Linked DNA regions of Stegostoma tigrinum. The protein of the gene in region 2 interacts with the protein of the main gene of each other region in a biochemical or structural test. Links are inferred from orthologs where the notes say so. Each region holds a gene or a part of one and is shown on either strand. Other genes may lie near its edges.

What was found. The genes of interacting proteins can lie anywhere in the genome.
Region 1: the proteins of E3 SUMO-protein ligase PIAS3-like (region 2) and microphthalmia-associated transcription factor-like form a complex in vitro, tested with the Homo sapiens proteins (2 studies listed by BioGRID). The link is inferred for Stegostoma tigrinum from reciprocal best matches to the Homo sapiens genes PIAS3 and MITF.

The regions. Positions count from the first base shown.
Region 1 is NC_081364.1:42,889,415-42,899,028, forward strand, and holds the start of microphthalmia-associated transcription factor-like, read right to left. Parts: upstream 4,129-9,614; 5' UTR 3,930-4,128; coding exon 3,826-3,929; intron 1-3,825. UniProt on the Homo sapiens protein: Transcription factor that acts as a master regulator of melanocyte survival and differentiation as well as melanosome biogenesis.
Region 2 is NC_081400.1:477,524-487,710, reverse strand, and holds the start of E3 SUMO-protein ligase PIAS3-like, read right to left. Parts: upstream 4,314-10,187; 5' UTR 4,229-4,313; coding exon of another isoform or gene 4,222-4,228; coding exon 4,205-4,221; intron 1,946-4,204; coding exon 1,470-1,945; intron 645-1,469; coding exon 560-644; intron 1-559. UniProt on the Homo sapiens protein: Functions as an E3-type small ubiquitin-like modifier (SUMO) ligase, stabilizing the interaction between UBE2I and the substrate, and as a SUMO-tethering factor.

The sequences.
Region 1 (9,614 bases), on a different chromosome or scaffold from region 2:
TACAATCTGTACCAGATCAAAGCACAATAATTTCAAAGGAAAGGGTACAATATTCCCTACAAAAAAATCTTTGTAAATAAGCAGAATCAGAAGAGGTTGCTTGTAAAGTGACAAACTGGTGAAAGAAACATATGCTGCTACTTTCTGCAGCAATGAACCTACGAGGTATTTATGTGAAACATGTCTTTTATCATACTTTCACGCAATATGGGCATCATGAACAAGGCCAACATTTGTTGCTCTTTCCTAACTGCCCTTGAGAAGTTGATGAAATACCGTTTTGAACCATCTAGCGTAAGCATAATTGAGTTCCAGGATTTTGATCCAGTCACAGTGACGGAATATAGTTCCAAGTCAAGATGACATGTGGCCTGGGGAAATCTTTTAGCAGGCGGTCTGTCTATGGATCTGTTATCCTTGTCTTTCTAGGAGGTAGAGGTCATAAATTTGAAAGTTGCTGTCTAGGCCTCATGAATAAGTTGCTGCTACGCGCCTTGCAGATAGCAAGCATTGTGCCTCAGTGGTAAGCACAGTGAATATTGAAGGTAGTGGATGGGATGCCTGTCAAGTACATTGTTTTGTCCAGGGTGATGTCAAGCTTTGTTGTTAGAGCTATACTTATTCAAGCAAGTTGAGAGTTCCACAACTTATTCACACCTTTAAGATGGTGATAGGACATGGCAAGTCAAGAATAAGTTATTCACCTTGGAATGTCCAGCCTCTGAACTGATCTATGTACAAACTATCTACATAGTTGGGCCAGTTAAGTTTCGGATCAGTCATATCCAACAGAACGATGGTAAAGGAGGATTCTGTGATGGTAATTACATTGAATATCAAAAAGAGCTAGTCATATATGTTGGAAATGGTAATTTCATTATACTTGTGTAGTGCAACAATCACCTGACAATTTTAGCCATGAGCCTGAAGTATAACCAAATGTCTTGCTGCATATAGATTTCAGTAACTGAGGAATTGCAAATGGTACCGAACACTGAAATCACCACTTCTTTTGTCCCCGTTTGGACTATTCCTGTTATGAAGTCTGGAGCCCAGTTGCCCAGGCAGAACTCAAATTAAGCATCAGTGGAGCATGATATTGCTGAAAAAGTGATACTTCGAGCACAACTGGCGATTGAACAGTGGCTCAGTGATTAGCACTGCTGCCTCACCACCACGGACCTGGAATCGATACTATCTCACGTGGCTGTGTGGAGCTTGCACATTTTCCCAGTGTCTGCATAGGCTTCCCCCAGATGCTCCGGTTTCCTCCCACAGTCTAAAGATGTAAAACTTAGGTGGATTGGGTGTGCTAATTTGCCGATGGCATCCATAGATGTGCATGCTATGTAGATTTGCCGAGGGAAATGCAGGGTTATGGGCATATGGAAGGGATGGTGGGTGGGAGCTCTTCAGAGGGTCGGTTATGGACTCAATGGGCCGAATGGTCTGCTGCCACACAGTAGGGATTCTACGATTCTTCTATGATTTGCCTTTTTTGTGGACAGAACATACATGGGCAATTGGAGCTAGTAAGAACTACAGATGCTGGAGTCAGAGTCAATACAGTGTGGAACCGGAGGAACACAGCAGGTCAGGCAGCATCAGAGGAGCAGGAAAGTCGATGTTTCGGGTTTACACCCTTCACCAATCCTGATGAACGGTGTAAACCCGAAACATCGACTTTCCTGTTCCTCTGATGCTGCCTGACCTGCTGTGTTCCTCCGGCTCCACACTCTATTGATACCCAGGCATTTTTTTCACTTGTCTGATATATGTCAGTATTACAGCTGTATTGAAATAACTTAGCTAAGGACATAGCTAGCACTGGAACACAAGTCTTCAATATTATTGATCCATAGCCTTTGTAGTATCCAGTGCAGTCAGCAGTCAGTTTTTGACAATGTGCATGCTGCCAATGCCAAGACAGCAGGTAAAGTTAGTCACTGATAAGCTGCACTTCTATAAATGGTGGCACTGGTATCACACCACCATAACAGGTACTTCTGGCTGCTCACCACTAGATGTTGCCCCAACCACCAGATGCCCATGCACCCTTTCCCAACCCCCAGCCGTTGATGGGCACACACCTCATTGCAGGGCTTGGCATGTCTCTTAAAGAGTAGGAGAACAAGTGAGGTGGTGAGTTAGACACCAAGAGCTCTTAGTACACATGCCTCTAGGTTAACATTGCTTTCTAATTCATTGCAGACACACCTCTTGCTTGAACAGCAGAGTGCTACAACTTTAATAAAACCACACACTGACAAATAAATTCTGCCATATTGTAATGTCCACTGATTTCAGTGAGCCAGTTCTCAGTGTTTGATTACAATGTTATGTTTCCATGCATTTCCCACTGTATCGGAAATAAATGCATCTTATCATTTGAGTGAATAAAAATGACTGAAAATTGGCATTTGTGATGTTGGCAAGCTCAGATGGCAGGCAGGGTGGATCATCCATTCTGTACTTCCAGCTGAAGATAGTTCCACATGTGTTAGCCTTGTCTTTTGCACTAGTGTGCTGGGAATCCACTTCATTGAAGATGGGGATGTTTGTGAAGTCTTCTGTTGGCTGTCTAATTGTTCATTACAATTCAGGAACTGATGGAATAGAGCCACAGAATTTCGACCTGACCCATTGGCCATAGGATCGCTTCACCCTGAATGAGGCATGATGTAGTTTTGAACGTTCCCGCACAATCATGCAAAGATATGACCAATGATGAGACCGAGCAACATGGGACCAGGGATGCCAAATTTTTAAAAATGCTTATCCAGAAATTAGTGTTCATGATAAAAACAAGAAATGTGTTCACACTCAAGACTTCAGTAGGGCTTCTCTTTTTGTTGTGTTGTATCACCTGAACAAATAATGTAGTTCTTGGAAACACCCTGTCTATACATATATTAACCCCAAGAGAGTTAGTCACAGCATCTGTGCTTGCCATATGGTTCAAGTGCTGGTTCACCCTGGTAAATATTTCGGTAGCATACAACATGAATACTAAAAATAAATTGTGCAATGTGTTTACAAGACGGTATTCCTTAAAATCAATTCATCTAACGTTTTTACTTTCAAGTCTAAACCAGCAGACGATACCAGGTGAGGCGTACAACATAAACGTGCAGCGTTTCACATACGCAACGTGTCCGAATTCCATTAGTTAAAATCTGATAGTTATTACATACCAACCAATTATTCGACCTCTCAGATTTGACTTCCCCATTTAATTACGTGCACAACAACAACGAAATTCTCACACAAGCCGATCAGCGGGGATTTTCTCTCCTTTTTGTTAGGGATTAAGAGGGGAGACCTTGGAAGTTATTGCGCTTTAAACGTTGCACCGAGGATCTGTTTCAGCAAGTGACGCCAAGCGTTTGCACTGAGCTGTCTTCTTGACAGAGCCTCCAAGTTCAGCGCTTCAGGGCAGCAAATTCTTACCCATTCGGTACACACCCCGCTAACAGACTTTAGTGTGTGTGTGTGTGTTTTAAAAAAAAGACTTCTCAGAACTAACACGTTGTTGTATGCAGCGTTTATAAATAAACGTAACTACCGCCAGCACAGTTCAAGGGTGAGATGTGTTGACATTTGGGAACAGTGCGAGGAATGTGCGGAGTGACAGCGAATGAGCATCTCCCCACCCAGCTCCCGGCTCAGCCCCTAGGTACCGGCACCTTACCCTGGCCTGGGAGGCTGGTGCTAGGGATGAGTGGCTCATGGACAGTGACAGTGATCCGGCGCAGGCAAACCAAACCACTCCCCACCCGCAGCCCAGCCCGGCCCGGCTCCGCTAACCCCTTTTCCCCCACTGACCTGCGGCTCAGGGGCTGACTCTTCAGCTCGTAAAACGTTTTCGCTTCTTCATGAAATTCCTCCCCGACTTCAAAATCCGGAACGATTCCCGACTCAGACTGCATTGGGGCGGAACGCAGCGCAGGGGAGTGTAAGTGTGAGTGTGTTTGCGTTGGGAGCTCTACAAAATTTAAATCGGGATTCTTCACAAAAGGGGTGGTGTGAAATGAAGCGAGAATCCGAGCGGCGGCAGCAATAAATGTCAACAAGACAAAGTTTCTCTGAGTGACAGACGCTGTCTCCACGCAGGCTTCGCCACCTCCTCCTGCCCGGCTCCGCTTCGAAAGGACCGCCGGGAGTTGTAGTTCCCCGTGGCCCGGCGATTCCCTCCGCCCAGACCCCAGACCCCGGAGAGCGTGGACTACAACTCCCAGTGGCGAGTCGCGGCCCGAGCCGGCCGCTGGGGCATGTGCCCTTGGCTGACCGGCCGGCTTGCTGCTCCCGTACAGTGTAATGTCAGCAGGTTTTATTGGCTACTGCAGCAAACCAGCACAGTAAATTCTACTTTCATTTGTTTGCATCAATCAGATCAAAGGGTAAATACTGGAAAATGCTGGAGAATACATTGAGTGAAGTGTTGCATTTGCTTATTCCAACGCAGTGGAATTGTCTGCTTTGACCAATTTCTCACTTTGTAGGATCGCAATCCTCCCGGCTGCCTGTCTTTTTTTTGCAATTTCATGTCGATTTCTGACGTCCCTCAGCCTCAGCATGTGCGTTTATTTTTCTCTCTCTCAATACGCTTTGATGCGTCAGCAAACGTATTGTGAACTCAGGTCGAGCTTGCAAATAGGTTAAGGGAACGAGACCATATTTTGATTCTTCCATTTCACCTAGTAGATAGTTCAATTACAATCTAATACAAATACGGGAAAACACTATCCCAACGGCATGCTCGAGACGTAGAGTTAACATTGCTTTAATGATGTATGAGGTCATCTTGACTCCAAGTAAAATTGAACATATTTTCACATAACTGTTCACGGTAAGTCAAAAGTTGTTGGACTCAATTATATAGAGGTGCGCAACCATGTAATATATCAAATAATGTAATTTTAATACCTGCTCAAGGACAAATTTCTGCTGATAGTGAAAATCTAAAATTAAAAAAGTTGGAGATCAGATAAGAACTAAGGGAAACAGCTAACATGTCAAATTGTTGACCTTTCACAACACAATAAGAAGGCAGGAATTAGTTTTTATTCATTCATGGGATGTGCGTACAGTATATGACCTGCTTGGGCAATTTTCTGCATTGCTGTGTAGATGGCAATATTACAGCTTGAGTGAAAAAGGCATGGCCGGAGGCACAGCTAGTTACGGAGAGCAAGTCTGCAGTGCTTTTGTTTGGGGAAGAAATGTTGTCAGAGCTTTTGAAGGATCCAGTGCCTTCAGTAATTTCTTGATATCTTGGACTAAACTGAATTAACCAATGTCTGGCACCTGTGATGCTGGACACCCCAAGATGAGGCCAGGATGAATAATGTACATCGCACCTCTGGATGAAGATGTTTTCAAATGCTTCATTGCTTCCTTTTGAATAAAGTGATGGGCCCCATCATTGAAGGCAAGGACATATGAGAAGCCCGTGCACCTGTTGCTGCTTTAATTGACTACTTCCATTCAGGAATCCATTGACAGCACTGCAGAACTTTGATCTGATCCCTTCGTTTTGCAATCACTCAACTTACATTCAGCTTCCACTGTTTATCATGCAAGTAGTCCTCTGTTGTAGCTTCATCAGGTTGACAGCTCATTCTTGAAAATGCCTGCTACTGCTCCTAGCACACCCTCCAGTGCTCCTTATTGAACCAAGGAGATCTAGCAGCTTGATTATATTGGTAAATAAGGCTAAACCAAGCTATCAAGTCATAGATTGTGGTTGAATATGACTGCTGCTGCAGCACAGTACTTCCTAAATGCCCAACAGACAGATGAGGATTTGGGCTCGGGTCCCAGGACTGAACCTGTGATTTCTATCTCAGGTCCTAAATAGAGACAATTAATATAATATGGTCACCCAGAAATTCAATAGGTAATCAGACAAAATTTCTTTACACAAAGCATAGTGAGAATATGGAACTCACTATAATAAGAAATGGTTGAAGTGAATAATGTAAAGGATTTAAGGGGAGGTGAGACAAGTGTATGAGGGAGAAAGAAATAGATGGATATGTTGGTAGAATTGATGAGAAAGGATGGGTGGTGGTTCAAGCAGAGCATGATCACCAGCATGATTGAGTTGATCTGAGTGGCTTGTTTCAGTGTTGTATATCCTATATATGCAAATGTCTTGTAAGCACAGAGTAATACAGCATGGAAACAGACCCTTCTGTCCAACCGGTCCACACTAACCATAATCCCAAACTAAACTTGCCCCAGTGATAATGGGAACTGCAGATGCTGGAGAATCCAAGATAACAAAGTGTGGAGCTGGATGAACACAGCAGGCCATGCAGCATCTCAGGAGCTCAAAAGCTGACGTTTCACACCTAGACCCTTCATCAGAGAGGATGAAGGGTCTCTGATGAAGGGTCTAGGCCCGAAACGTCAGCTTTTGTGCTCCTGAGATGCTGCTTGGCCTGCTGTGTTCATCCAGCTCCACACTTTGTTATCTAAACTTGCCCCACATGCCTGCACTTGGCCCATATCCCTCCAAACATTTCTTATTCATGTACTTATCAAAATGTCTTTTAAACATTGTAACTGAACCTGCATGCACCACTTCCTCTGAAAGCTCATTCCACACAAAAACCACTCTCTGTGTAAAAGAGTTGACCATCATATCTTTTTTAAAACTTTCTCCTCTCACCTTAAAAATATGTCCCCTGGCCTTGAAATCGCCATCCTAAGGAAAAGACTTGCCATTCACTTTATCTATACCCCACATTATTTTATAAACCTCTATAAGGTCACCTCTCAACCTCCTATGCTCTCATGAAAAAAAGTCCTGGCCTCTCTTAACAACTCAAACCTTCCATCCCTGGCAACATCCTGGTAACTATCTTCTAAACTCTCTCCATCTTAATAGTATCCTTGGTATAATAGGGCAATCAGAGCTGTGCACAGTACTCCAGAAAAGGCCTCGCCAATGTCCTGTACCTCCTCAAAATAACATCCTAACTCCTGTATTCAAAGGACTGAGCAATGTAGGCAAGCATGCTAAATGCCTTCTTGACCACCTCATCTATATGTGATGCAAACTTCAAAAAATTATGTACCTGAATTCCTACATCTATCTGTTCTACAACACTGCCGAACGCCCTACTTTTAATTATATAAGTATTGTTTGTGCTTGTTTCTCCAAAATGTAATGCCTTGCATTTATCCAAATTAAACTCCACATGCCATTCTTCAGCCCACTGACCCAATTGATCAAATCTCTTTGTAATCTTAGACAACCTTCTTCACTATGCACTTTTACCACCATTCTTGGTGTCATCCACAAACTTACTAACCATACTTTTTATATTGTCATCTAAACATTTATATAAATGACAAACAAAAGTGGACTCAGCACCGATTGCTAGTTACAGGTCTCCAGTCCAAAAAAAAACCTTCAACCATCACTCTTTGGAAAACACTTTAAACTTCACCTGTTGAAGTTTCAAAAAGCTCAGAAATACTAATTTCTGTAGCTTTGTTAATTTTCCATCAGAGCAGATACATGAAACCATAACAACAAAAATCTCAACAAAGGAAATGTTTTTCTAAATGCTTCATAATCTTCATAGCACGTCAATCACCAATTCAGATGCTTTATTTGTGCAGCGTTAGTATTTGTAATTTCAGTGAAAGAAATTACTGTTGCACATGTATACGATCTAGATATACTGTTTTATAGAATGCCAATCGGGGGAACTAATTGGTTTTGATTTAGTCCCTTCTAACTGACTAATTAACTTTACTGTTCAAAATGCCTAAGTAGAGGGGAAATATTGTTGCAGATACCTATACTAATAAACTGCTGTGTCTCGGGTTAAAATTATTTATCCAGAAAAAACAGTTGATATCATTTGAAGCTTACAGAACTTGAGATGGAGAGCACAGTGTTATGAATGTGAGATATGAATAGGCATCTGATGAATAAATATTGATACCTAAACACCACCTAGTCAACAGAATGCTGGATAGCTCCAGATTATTTCAGTCTCACTGTTTACAGAATTGCTTGTTGCCTTGTTAACAGCACTAAATGAGGCAATCGTAAAAACGAAATAGGTATAGATTAGAAACGACTTCCAGATAGATGGTAAGAATTCTAACAAATTGTAAACTTTAATTACATGTCTAAGCAGTCAATGTTGCAAACTGCAAACCTCCTCAAAACAGTTTGAACAAACTGCTACCCTTGAATGGATCAAATCACGTACAGAGTTATATTACTTTAAGGATGATAAGACAGCAAGTTCTAACAATAAATTGTGGTCCAAAGCATCATTTGCAGAAATAGAGGTTTTTGCTGTTAATTTTGATTCAATTTTACATCATAATATTGAATCATTTAGCTTTCAATTCAATTGCAAAACAAAATTAAGCTAATGATCAAAAATAAGATCAAACAGTTTTTTTATCCATCATAGTTCACCACAGGCTTTTCAAATGGTTGTGTTTCCTTCAATGCAGCCCTGAGGGACCGCTCCACTTGTGAAGGCTTGGTTTTTGCATGAGATATTAAACTGAGGCTCTACCTGCCCTCACAGATAGACATAAAATATATTTTTCAAAGAATGATACCAACAGGAAATCCAAATTGTAGGTGCAAACAATGTGATATCACTTTGAGGCACAAAAAGCTTGAAACAGAAAATAGTGTCTTCCTTGTTTTAGTTCACAAATAGCTGCAGATACAGAGTAGCAAAATGAGCATTATCAGCAGAATAGTGTATAGCCAAAGCTGCAAGAGTCAGCAAATGTAGTATTGCAAAAATAAAGCTGGTTGTGCACACAGAAAGAAGATGGATGGTTTCCTGCTTCAGTTACTTCAAGGGGTTTTACGCATGTAGGACAATTAAAACACATTTTAAAAATGTAGAATTATAGATCTCAGCTGAAGTCTGTTCATCCACAAATTAATCATCATAATTTGGATTTTATATCCAATTCCACACTTATTAGTTCACCACATGGGTAGAATTTCTGATTGAACACAATCAGTAAAATCGGCACAAATGGTAAAAGGGTGCAAATGGTACCCAAACAGATGCTTGTTTTAAAAAGTGGATTTTTTGTCTTGTGTTTTCACTCAAAATCTCCAGTGCACCAACACTTTCAGGTGAATAGCTCTCGATGTATTTCAGAAAGGTATCATGATGTAGTTTGATAAATACAGCTGAAAACAAATTTGTTACACAAATAACTTCTTGGTCACAATATTATTCCATCATCTGTGTGTAACCAAATTTTAAATGACTGAAAACAACTTTTTCCAGAATTTTACAGAACTGTTCCCTAATTGTTTTGGAGTACAATAATCAACTTATTAATAACATGTTTTTTTCAAAGTTATGCTTAAACCTTTTTGGAGTCTCTTGGCCCAGACCTTTAGTCTCTGGTTTGTCAGAGACAAGGCATATGAGTCAAGATGCACCTCGAGACCTTGCCAAGTTGACATCTTTGGGATATGGATTGAGAAATTTGAACTCCTGATGACCAACTCATCTACTTCACAAAAGTGTCCAAGTCTGGGTCAGATTGGATACTTTGGGCAATTCCACATATTTATCATGTAGTTACCCAGCAAATGTTAG
Region 2 (10,187 bases):
ACAGCCAGCCTTTACATGGAATGGATTTATTCAGCGAGTATGAACCATTACAAGTATATATGCTGAGTCATTATTATGTATTTCTTTATACTTTTAAAATCAATTAAATAAACTAAACCGAATTAAAAGGTGACAAACCTTTATGGGGCAACTGCAACAAAAATCAAATGTTCAAACAAAACTTAAAATTTCATTTCAAATATGCTTAAGCAGCTATCCAATCAATGCCTTCCACAAGTGGAAATATTTTCTAACCAACCTGGTTCCAGATGTCATTACACAGCCCTGGAACTAGAGGGACTGGAACCTGGGCCTCCTGTTTCAGAGACAGGGACACAAAAAGTCCTTGACAGATCTGTACAAGAGCAAATATCTCTCTCACCCAACCATACTCTCCAACCTCTAGCCACTCTTCCTCACATCATACTCTCACTGCTGTCTGTTTGCCTCCACCTCCTCAGACCCTATCCCTCACACAGTCAATTCACGCTTCTGAAAAAGTGTCTCTCTGATAGCTTATTGTTTGGGTGAAAGGTTTTGTCCATTTTCACACTCTCACCTGGATGAGCAAATCTGTTGAACTTGCTGTGGGGTCAATGCAAACGTAACAACAGCTTCCTCAAATCGTTGCCCATTACTTGATACTGTAAAAAAAGAAAGCAGAAAGGATACAATGGAAACACCGCCTCATCATCATCAAGAAACAATATAGGCCCGTGAAACTAAAATGGAACAAAGAACCACAGAAGCTGGAAATCTGAAACATAAACAGCAATTGCCGGAGAAATTCAGCAAGTCAGGCAGCATGTGCGGACAGAAAGCAGAGTTAACATTTCTAGTTTAATTCTGAAGAATTCTCCCTTCCTTCCTTCACCACCCCAACCCTCACTACTCTCTCCTTCCCACCCCTCACTGTTTCCTCCTCTTGTGCTGCTCTCACTGACCGACTGACTTTCTTTGGAGTGAGATCAAAGTTGTCCTTACCATAACACACTGCCATATATGGCTACAGGCAATTCTGCACATGCTGCATCATTGGTAGCCAGGTCCAATTTTCGTTCTGGTTCCTCTGAAATGCCCTCCTGCTTATGAAGAACTGCAATGTTTGTCTCAGTTGGCTGGACAGTCAGTTTGTGATGCAGACAGGTGCCAACAGTGTGGGTTCAGTTCCTGAAACAGCTGAGGTTACCATGAAGGACTCTGCTTCACAATCTCTCCCCTTACCTCAGGTTAAACCACCAGCAGTTGTCTCTCTCAAATGAGGGAGCAGCCCTATAGTCTGGTAAGACTATAGCAATTTTACCTTTACCTTATCTTCAGACCAAACAGGAGGTCCCATCAAATTCCAGGCGTGCTGGGCACAGAACGACCACTGGTCAACAATATCAATCCTTCCAAATCCATCAACTTCCATCCCACCCCATATCTTCCCCTCCAAGCCCCCAGGCCATTCATCACCACGGCCTTACCTAATGTGGTTGGTTTGGTCAGCTCATCGTAGATGTCATAAAATGGCAGCCTCCTCATTTTGACGTCTGGATGCACTGGGGGGGACAGATGTTGTAAATCTAATTCTCGCTTGGGAGTGAGCATGCTGAGGGGCGACAACAGTGGGGACACCAAGGCCGAGGCAGCAGAGGTACTGTAGTGAAGCTGTGGATTGCTGCCAAGAGCCAGAGATGCACTGGCTGAAGGGTGAGCCACGGCGTTCTGGACAGATAGTAAAGGCAACTCCATGGTGGTGTGGCTCTTGCGAGGGAAGCGACGCCTGTAGAGCTCTTTAATTTTCATGTGCACAGCTGGACTGCAGCCAGACTTCAGCATGTACAGCACTTTGGTCAACAGCTCGTGTTTACGGCCTGTCTTGTTCCGGCCAGAGAATCCCAGCAGCACTTGTAGTTCCGACACTCTAAAGCTCATCACCATGTGCTGCAAAACAGAGAATCTGTTAGAAACAAAAACAAGTTGCTAGAAAAGCTCAGCAAGTCTGGCAGCAGCTGTGTAGAGAAATCAGAATTAACATTTTGGATCTATTGACCCTTCCTCAGAATCTGTTAGAGTGGGGAAAAGGTAGGGCAGAGAGGCAGGGTGGAGAATGCTGAAAAGGTGGGGGCTGCAGGGCCAGGGGATAGTTTTGCATCAGTGTTGAAAAGTGGGGGCATCAAGCAAGAGATGAATTTATCAGTGTGAGCAACGAGATGCCAGGTAAATGGTTTGGTGGGTGGGAACAATGTGGATGTTGCTGCGGCTTTTGGTAATACAGAATTGGCTGGCCAACAGAAGACAGCGAGTGGTAGTAGAAGGAAAATATTCTGCCTGGAAGTCAGTGGTGAGTGGGGTTCCACAGGGCTCTGTCCTTGGGCCTCTACTGTTTGTAATTTTTATTAATGACTTGGATGAGGGGATTGAAGGATGGGTCAGCAAGTTTGCAGACGACACAAAGGTCGGAGGTGTCGTTGACAGTGTAGAGGGCTGTTGTAGGCTGCAGCGGGACATTGACAGGATGCAGAGATGGGCTGAGAGGTGGCAGATGGAGTTCAACCTGGATAAATGCGAGGTGATGCATTTTGGAAGGTCGAATTTGAAAGCAGAGTACAGGATTAAGGATAGGATTCTTGGCAGCGTGGAGGAACAGAGGGATCTTGGTGTGCAGATACATAGATCCCTTAAAATGGCCACCCAAGTGGACAGGGTTGTTAAGAAAGCATATGGTGTTTTGGCTTTCATTAACAGGGAGATTGAGTTTGAGTCGTGAGATCTTGTTGCAGCTCTATAAAACTTTGGTTAGACCGCACTTGGAATACTGCGTCCAGTTCTGGTCGCCGTATTATAGGAAAGATGTGGATGCTTTGGAGAGGGTTCAGAGGAGGTTTACCAGGATGCTGCCTGGACTGGAGGGCTTATCTTATGAAGAGAGGTTGACTGAGCTCAGTCTCTTTTCATTGGAGAAAAGGAGGAGGAGAGGGGACCTAATTGAGGTATACAAGATAATGAGAGGCATAGATAGAGTTGATAGCCAGAGACTATTTCCCAGGGCAGAAATGGCTAGCACGAGGGGTCATAGTTTTAAGCTGGTTGGTGGAAAGTATAGAGGGGATGTCAGAGGCAGGTTCTTTACGCAGAGAGTTGTGAGAGCATGGAATGCGTTGCCGGCAGCAGTTGTGGAAGCAAGGTCATTGGGGTCGTTTAAGAGACTGCTGGACCTGTATATGGTCACAGAAATTTGAGGGTGCATACATGAGGATCAATGGTCGGCACAACATTGTGGGCTGAAGGGCCTGTTCTGTGCTGTACTGTTCTATGTTCTAAGTGTGACTGTTGGGGTGAGGGAATGAAAGCTGGAAGTGGTGGAAAGCAGCTGCAAACAGGAAGTATGGAGGAGTGGTTGGTGACGGTGTTGGAAAAGGGATGGCATATCAACAGACCTGGGGAAAGGGATGTAGTTGAGAATAAGAGTGTTTATGGAAGTTTTGGGGGCTTGGTGGGGGGTGGCGGGGGGTCGTGCGGAAGATGCCAGATTGTCAGGATGGGAGGACTGCCAGCAGGGCAGTGGGGGCATGTCAGCATGGGGAGAGGGGGTTGGTGAGGGGTAGGGGGTCAGCAGAGAGGATGACAGGTCAGTGTGTGGGGGGGGTGGAAGAGGTGTGTCAGTTTGGAGGGGGGTGATGGTGTGTCAGTGTGGGGTAGGGGTGTCCGTGGTGGGGGGGGGAGGTGAAGTTGTGTCAGTGTGAGGGTGTATCGATATGATGGTTGGGAAGGGGGTCGGTAGGGGATCAGAAGGGCGAATGGCAGGTCGCTGTGGCGGGGGAGCGGAGGGTCATTGGGAAGGATGGGGTCAGAGTGGGGGCTGTCATCAGTAGGATAAGTGTCAGTGAGGAGGGGTGTCGTGCGCTTGTTTTGGTGCGGGAGGGAGTGTCAGTGAATTTAAGAGGGAACCAGTAGTATGTGTGGGGCATGATTTAGGGTGAGGTTTGGGGTGGGGGCCTGCTCTGTTACGGAGAGCCCTCCAGGCGCGCCCACGACGGTCGTTCCCCCGACGCGCGCCTCCGCGCTCGGGCCAGTTCGCTGTGGTTAGTGGGGGGAATGCTTTCCTTCTGCTCGATCAACATCGACAGCTGGCTCCACCCGGTGCCACCACTGCAGAGAACAACCCCGTCCCTCCCGCTCGCTCTCCCTCTCCCTCCCGAGACCTCCTAATACTGACCCGCAATTCCCCGTCATCCGCCATCTCCGGGCATCGCCTCGACCCCGGGCCCACCTCTCCCCGCTGACATCATCACGCAGGCGACGCAATATGGGCGTGGTCTGGATGAACGGGCGAGACAGCGGTGCGTGTTAATAAGAGGGAGGGGCCTGCGGGGTGCGCCAGTTGGAGGGAGGGCGGGTGGAGCTGGCCGTGGAGAATGGGGCAAATTGTGATCAGAGATAAAGGGAACTGCAGATGCTGGAGAATCCAAGATAACAAAGTGTGGAGCTGGATGAACACAGCAGGCCAAGCAGCATCTCAGGAGCACAAAAGCTGACGTTTTGGGCCGAGACCCTTCATCAACCCTCTCTGATGAAGGGTCTTGGCCCGAAACGTCAACTTTTGTGCTCCTGAGATGCTGCTTGGCCCGCTGTGTTCATCCAGCTTCAACACTTTGTCAGCATGGGGTAAACTTGGGTTGTCGAACTTTTGAGGGCGTGGTCCATGTAGCGGGCGTGGCTGTGGTGTGGGGGGCGGGTCTTTGGGTAGCGAGGTGTGGTCCTGCCGCGGGGAGAGGAGCCGAGTGAAGGGAGCTGTTGGAGAAGGCGGGGCCACTGAGAGGGCGGGGCCTGTTCTCCAGTGCCGTTGGGCGCGCGAGTTTCTTTTGGGCGGGAAGGAGGTGTAAAACTGGAATGAAAGAAAGAAAAAAAATTATCAGCACAGAGAAAGTGAGAATTATCAGAAAATTGGAGGAGCGGGTTTGGGGGTTCGCTGCACTCCCTCGAAAACAGGACATACTTCCTCAGAAAAGGAGCCCAAAACTGCACATAATATAAAGTAGAGGGCATAGGTTTAAGGTGAGAGGGATAAAATATAAAAATGACCGGAGAGATAAATTTTTCACGCAGAGGGTCATGCATGTATGGAACGAGCAGCTAGAGGAAGTGATAGGTGTGGGTACAATTACAACATTACTACAAAATTACAATTACTACAAAACATCTGGATGGGTACATGAATAGGACGGGATTTGGGGATATGGGACAGATACTGGCAAATGGGACTAGGCCGGATTGGAATGTCTGATCAGCGTGGATGGGTTAAACGGAAGGGTCTGTTTCCATGCTGTATGACTGAGAAGGTTAGAATACAAGAGCAGAGGCATATGGCTTAGACTGTATAAAGCTCTGGTCAGACCGCAACTGAAATATTGTAATGGAGTAATATAGGATGGAAACAGACTCTTTGGTCCAACTAATCCATGTCAAACAGGTTTCACAAACTGAACTAAATCATTATATTCCTGTATCTATCTAAATATGTTTTAAATGCTGTGACAGTCCCTGCCTCTGTCACTTCCTGCGGTGGTTTGTTCTGTTTTGGGTCCCAAGTTTCAGGAAGGATATGCTGGCATTGGAGATAATCCAGAGGAAGTTTACAAGAATGATTCTAGGGATGAAGGGCTCTACGTCTAGCTTAGAAGGATGAGATGGGATCTGTTTGAAACTTGTAGAATACTGAGAGACCTGATTAAAGTGGACATGGAGATGTTCCCACTAGTAGGAGAGACTAGGACCCAAGAGCAAGCCTCAGAGTATAGCCCTTTAGAATTGAGATGAAGGGAAATTTTTCCAACTAGAGTGTGGCGAATCTGTGGAACTGATTGCTGCAGAAGGCTCTGGAGGCCAAGTCATTGATTGTATGTAAGACAGAGAGGTTCTTAATTAGCAAGGAAATTGAGAGTTATGGGGAGAAGGCAGGAGAATGAAATTGAGAAACATATCAGCTATGATCAAACGATGAAGCAGACTTGATGGGCCACATGGCCTAAGTTTTCTCCTATACCTTATGGTCTAAGGCCGAGAGAGAAATTTATAATTTCCTTAGAGAATCAAAGGAGATAAGGCAGGAAGTGATCTGGTGGTACTAGACTGTTAATCCTGATTAGACTGATAATCAGATTAGCTATGATCTTATTGAATTGTGGAGCAGGCGGATTGGGCAGAATGGCCTACCTCTGCTCCCATACATTATAGTCTTAAATTCTTAGTTCTTGGAAGGGAGTTCCATTTTAGTGAGTTGTCGCCGATTCCATGGCTGGCAGCCCTGCAGTTCTAGTAGAGAACATTGGGACCTGTGACTATTGCTGGGATTACAGGCTGTCGAACCACATCAATTTTGATAACACAATAGGGATCCAGGTTCAACAGGCTGATCTCATACTCTGCCACTCCCTTTGCCCCATGTGGTCATATAAAATCCAGACCATGGGTTCTGGACAATGGAGATAAGTTAATGGGCATGAACAAAGCGAGACAATGACCAAACTAGGTATGGAAGGGGCAAAGCTGAAAGAAAAGGTTACCAGAGAGATTATATTTTAATACTGTCTGAGGAATGAACTTCCAGAGGAAGTATTGGATGTGGGTACAGTTCAAGATATTTGGTTAAGGAAGCTGTAGAGCGCGGGAGCCGTGGTTTACGAAGGAAATGGAATCTCTGGTCAAGAGGAAGAAGAAGGCTTATGTTAGGATGAGATGTGAAGGCTCAGTTAGGGTGCTTGAGGGTTACAAGGTAGCCAAGAAAGACCTAAAGAGAGCGCTCAGAAGAACCAGGAGAAGACATGAGAAGTTGTTGGCGGATAGGATCAGGGTAAACCCTAAGGCTTTCTATAGGTATTGAAGGAATAAAAGAATGACGAGACTAAGATTAGGTCCAAACAAGGATAGTAGTGGGAAGTTGTGTGTGGAGTCAGAGGAGATAGGGAAAGCACTAAATGAATATTTTTCGACAGTATTCACTCTAGAAAACAACAATGTTGTTGAGGAGAATACTGAGACACAGGCTACTAGACTAGGTGGGATTGAGGTTCACAAGGAAGAGGCATTAGAAATCCTACAGAGGGTGAAGATAGATAAGTCCCTTGGGCTGGATGGTATTTATCCTAGGATCCCCTGGGAAGCCAGGGAGGAGATTGCCGAGCCTTTGACATTGATCTTTAACTCGTCATTGTCTACAGGAATAGTGCCAGATGACTGGAGGATAGCAAATGTGGTTCCCCTGTTCGAGAAGGGGAGTAGAGACAACCCTGGTAATTATAGACCAGTGAGCCTTACCTCAGTTGTTGGTAAAGTGTTGGAAAAGGTTATAAGAGATGGGATTTATAATCATCTAGAAAAGAATAAATTGATTAGGGATAGTCAGCACGATTTTGTGAAGGGTAGGTCGTGCCTCACAAACCTTATTGAGTTCTTTGAGAAGGTGACCAAACAGGTAGATGAGAGTAAACCGGTTGATGTGGTGTATATGGATTTCAGCAAGGCGTTCGATAAGGTTCCCCACAGTAGGCTATCATACAAAATGCGGAGGAATGGGATTGTGGGAGATATAGCAGTTTGGATCAGAAATTGGCTTGCTGAAAGAAGACAGAGGGTGGTAGTTGAAGGGAAATGTTCATCCTGAAGACCAGTTACTAGTGGTGTACCGCAAGGGTCGATGTTAGGTCCACTGCTGTTCGTCATTTTTATAAATGACCTGGATGAGGGTGTAGAAGGATGGGTTAGTAAGTTTGCAGACGACACTTAAGGTTGGTGGAACATAGAACATACAACATTACAGCACAGCACAGGCCCTTCGGCCCTCGATGTTGTGCCGACCTGTCATACCAATCTCAAGCCCATCTAACCTACACTATTCCATGTACGTCCATATGCTTATCCAATGACGACTTAAATGTACCTAAAGTTGGCGAATCTACTACCGTTGCAGGCAAAGCCTCCATTCCCTTACTACTCTGAGTAAAGAAACTACCTCTGACATCTGAACTATATCTTTCACCCCTCAATTTAAAGCTATGCCCCCTCGTGCTCACTGTCACCATCCCAGGTAAAAGGCTCTCCCTATCCACCCTATCTAACCCTCTGATTATTTTATATGTTTCAATTAAGTCACCTCTGAACCTTCTTCTCTCTAATGAAAACAGCCTCAAGTCCCTCAGCCTTTCCTCACAACACCTTCCCTCCATACCAGGCAACATCCTAGTAAATTTCCTCTGCACCCTTTCCAAAGCTTGCACATCCTTCTTATAATGTGGTGACCAGAACTGTACGCAATACTCCAAGTGCGGCCGCACCAGAGTTTTGTACAGCTGCAGCATAAATTCTTGGTTCCGGAACTTGATCCCTCTATTAATAAAAGCTAAAACACTGTATGTCTTCTTAACAGCCCTGTCAACCTGGGTGGCAACTTTCAAGGATCTGTGTACATGGACACCAAGATCTCTCTGCACATCTACACTACCAAGAATCTTACGATTAGCCCAGTACTTTGCCTTCCAGTTACTCCTACCTAAGTGCATCACCTCACATTTGTCCGCATTAATCTCCATTTGCCACCTCTCAGACCAGCTCTGCAGCTTATCTATGTCTCTCTGTAACCTACAGCATCCTTCTTCACTATCCACAACTCCACTGACCTTAGTGTCATCTGCAAATTTACTAACCCATCCTTCTACGCCCTCATCCAGGTCATTTATAAAAATGACAAACAGCAGTGGACCCAACATCGACCCTTGCGGTACACCACTAGTAACTGGTCTCCAGGATGAACATTTCCCATCAACTACCACCCTCTGTCTTCTTTCAGCAAGCCAATTTCTGATCCAAACTGCTATATCTCCCACAATTCCATTCCTCCGCATTTTGTACAATAGCCTATTGTGGGGAACCTTATCGAACGCCTTGCTGAAATCCATATACACCACATCAACCAGTTTACTCTCATCTACCTGTTTGGTCACCTTCTGAAAGAGCTCAATAAGGTTTGTGAGGCACGACCTTCCCTTCACAAAACCGTGCTGACTATCCCTAATCAATTTATTCTTTTCTAGATGATTATAAATCCTACCCCTTATAACCTTTACCAACAACTGAGGTAAGGCTCACTGGTCTATAATTACCAGGGTTGTCTCTACTCCCCTTCTCGAACAGGGGAACCACATTTGCTATCCTCCAGTCATCTGGCACTATTCCTGTAGACAATGACGAGTTAAAGATCAATGTCAAAGCCTCGGCAATCTCCTCCCTGGCTTCCCAGAGGATCCGAGGATAAATCCCATCCGGCCCGGGGACTTATGTATCTTCACCCTCTGAAGGATTTCTAATACCTTTTCCTTGTGAACCTCAATCCCACCTAGTCTAGTAGCCTGTATCTCAGTATTCTCCTCGACAACATTGTCGTTTTCTAGAGTGAATACTGTTGAAAAATATTCATTTAGCGCTTCCCCATCTCCTCTGACTCCACACACAACTTCCCACTACTATCCTTGATTGGACCTAATCTTACTTTCATCATTCTTTTATTCCTTAAATACCTGTAGAAAGCCTTAGGGTTTACCCTGATCCTATCCGCCAACAACTTCTCATGTCTCCTCCAGGCTCTTCTGAGCGCTCTCTTTAGGTCTTTCTTGGCTACCTCGTAGCCCTCAAGTGCTCTAACTGAGCCTTCACATCTCATCCTAACATAAGCCTTCTTCTTCCTCTTGACCAGAGATTCCACCTCCTTCGTAAACCACAGCTCCCGTGCTCTACAGCTTCCTCCCTGCCTGACAGGTACATATTTATCTAGGACACACAGGAGCTTTTCCTTGAATAAGCTCCACATTTCTAATGTGCCCGTCCCCTGCAGTTTCCTTCCCCATCCTATGCTCCCTAAAACTTGCCTAATCTCATCGTAATTGCCTTTCCCCCAGCTACAACTCTTGCCCAGTGGTATACACCTATCCCTTTCCATCACTAAAGTAAACATAACAGAATTGTGATCGCTATCACCAAAGTGCTCACCTACTTCCAAATCTAACACCTGGCCAGGCTCATTACCCAGTTCCAAATCTAATGTGGCTTCGCCCCTTGTTGGCCTATCTACATACTGTGTCAGGAAGCCCTCCTGCACACACTGGACAAAACCTGACCCATCTATAGTACTTGAACTATAGTGTTCCCAG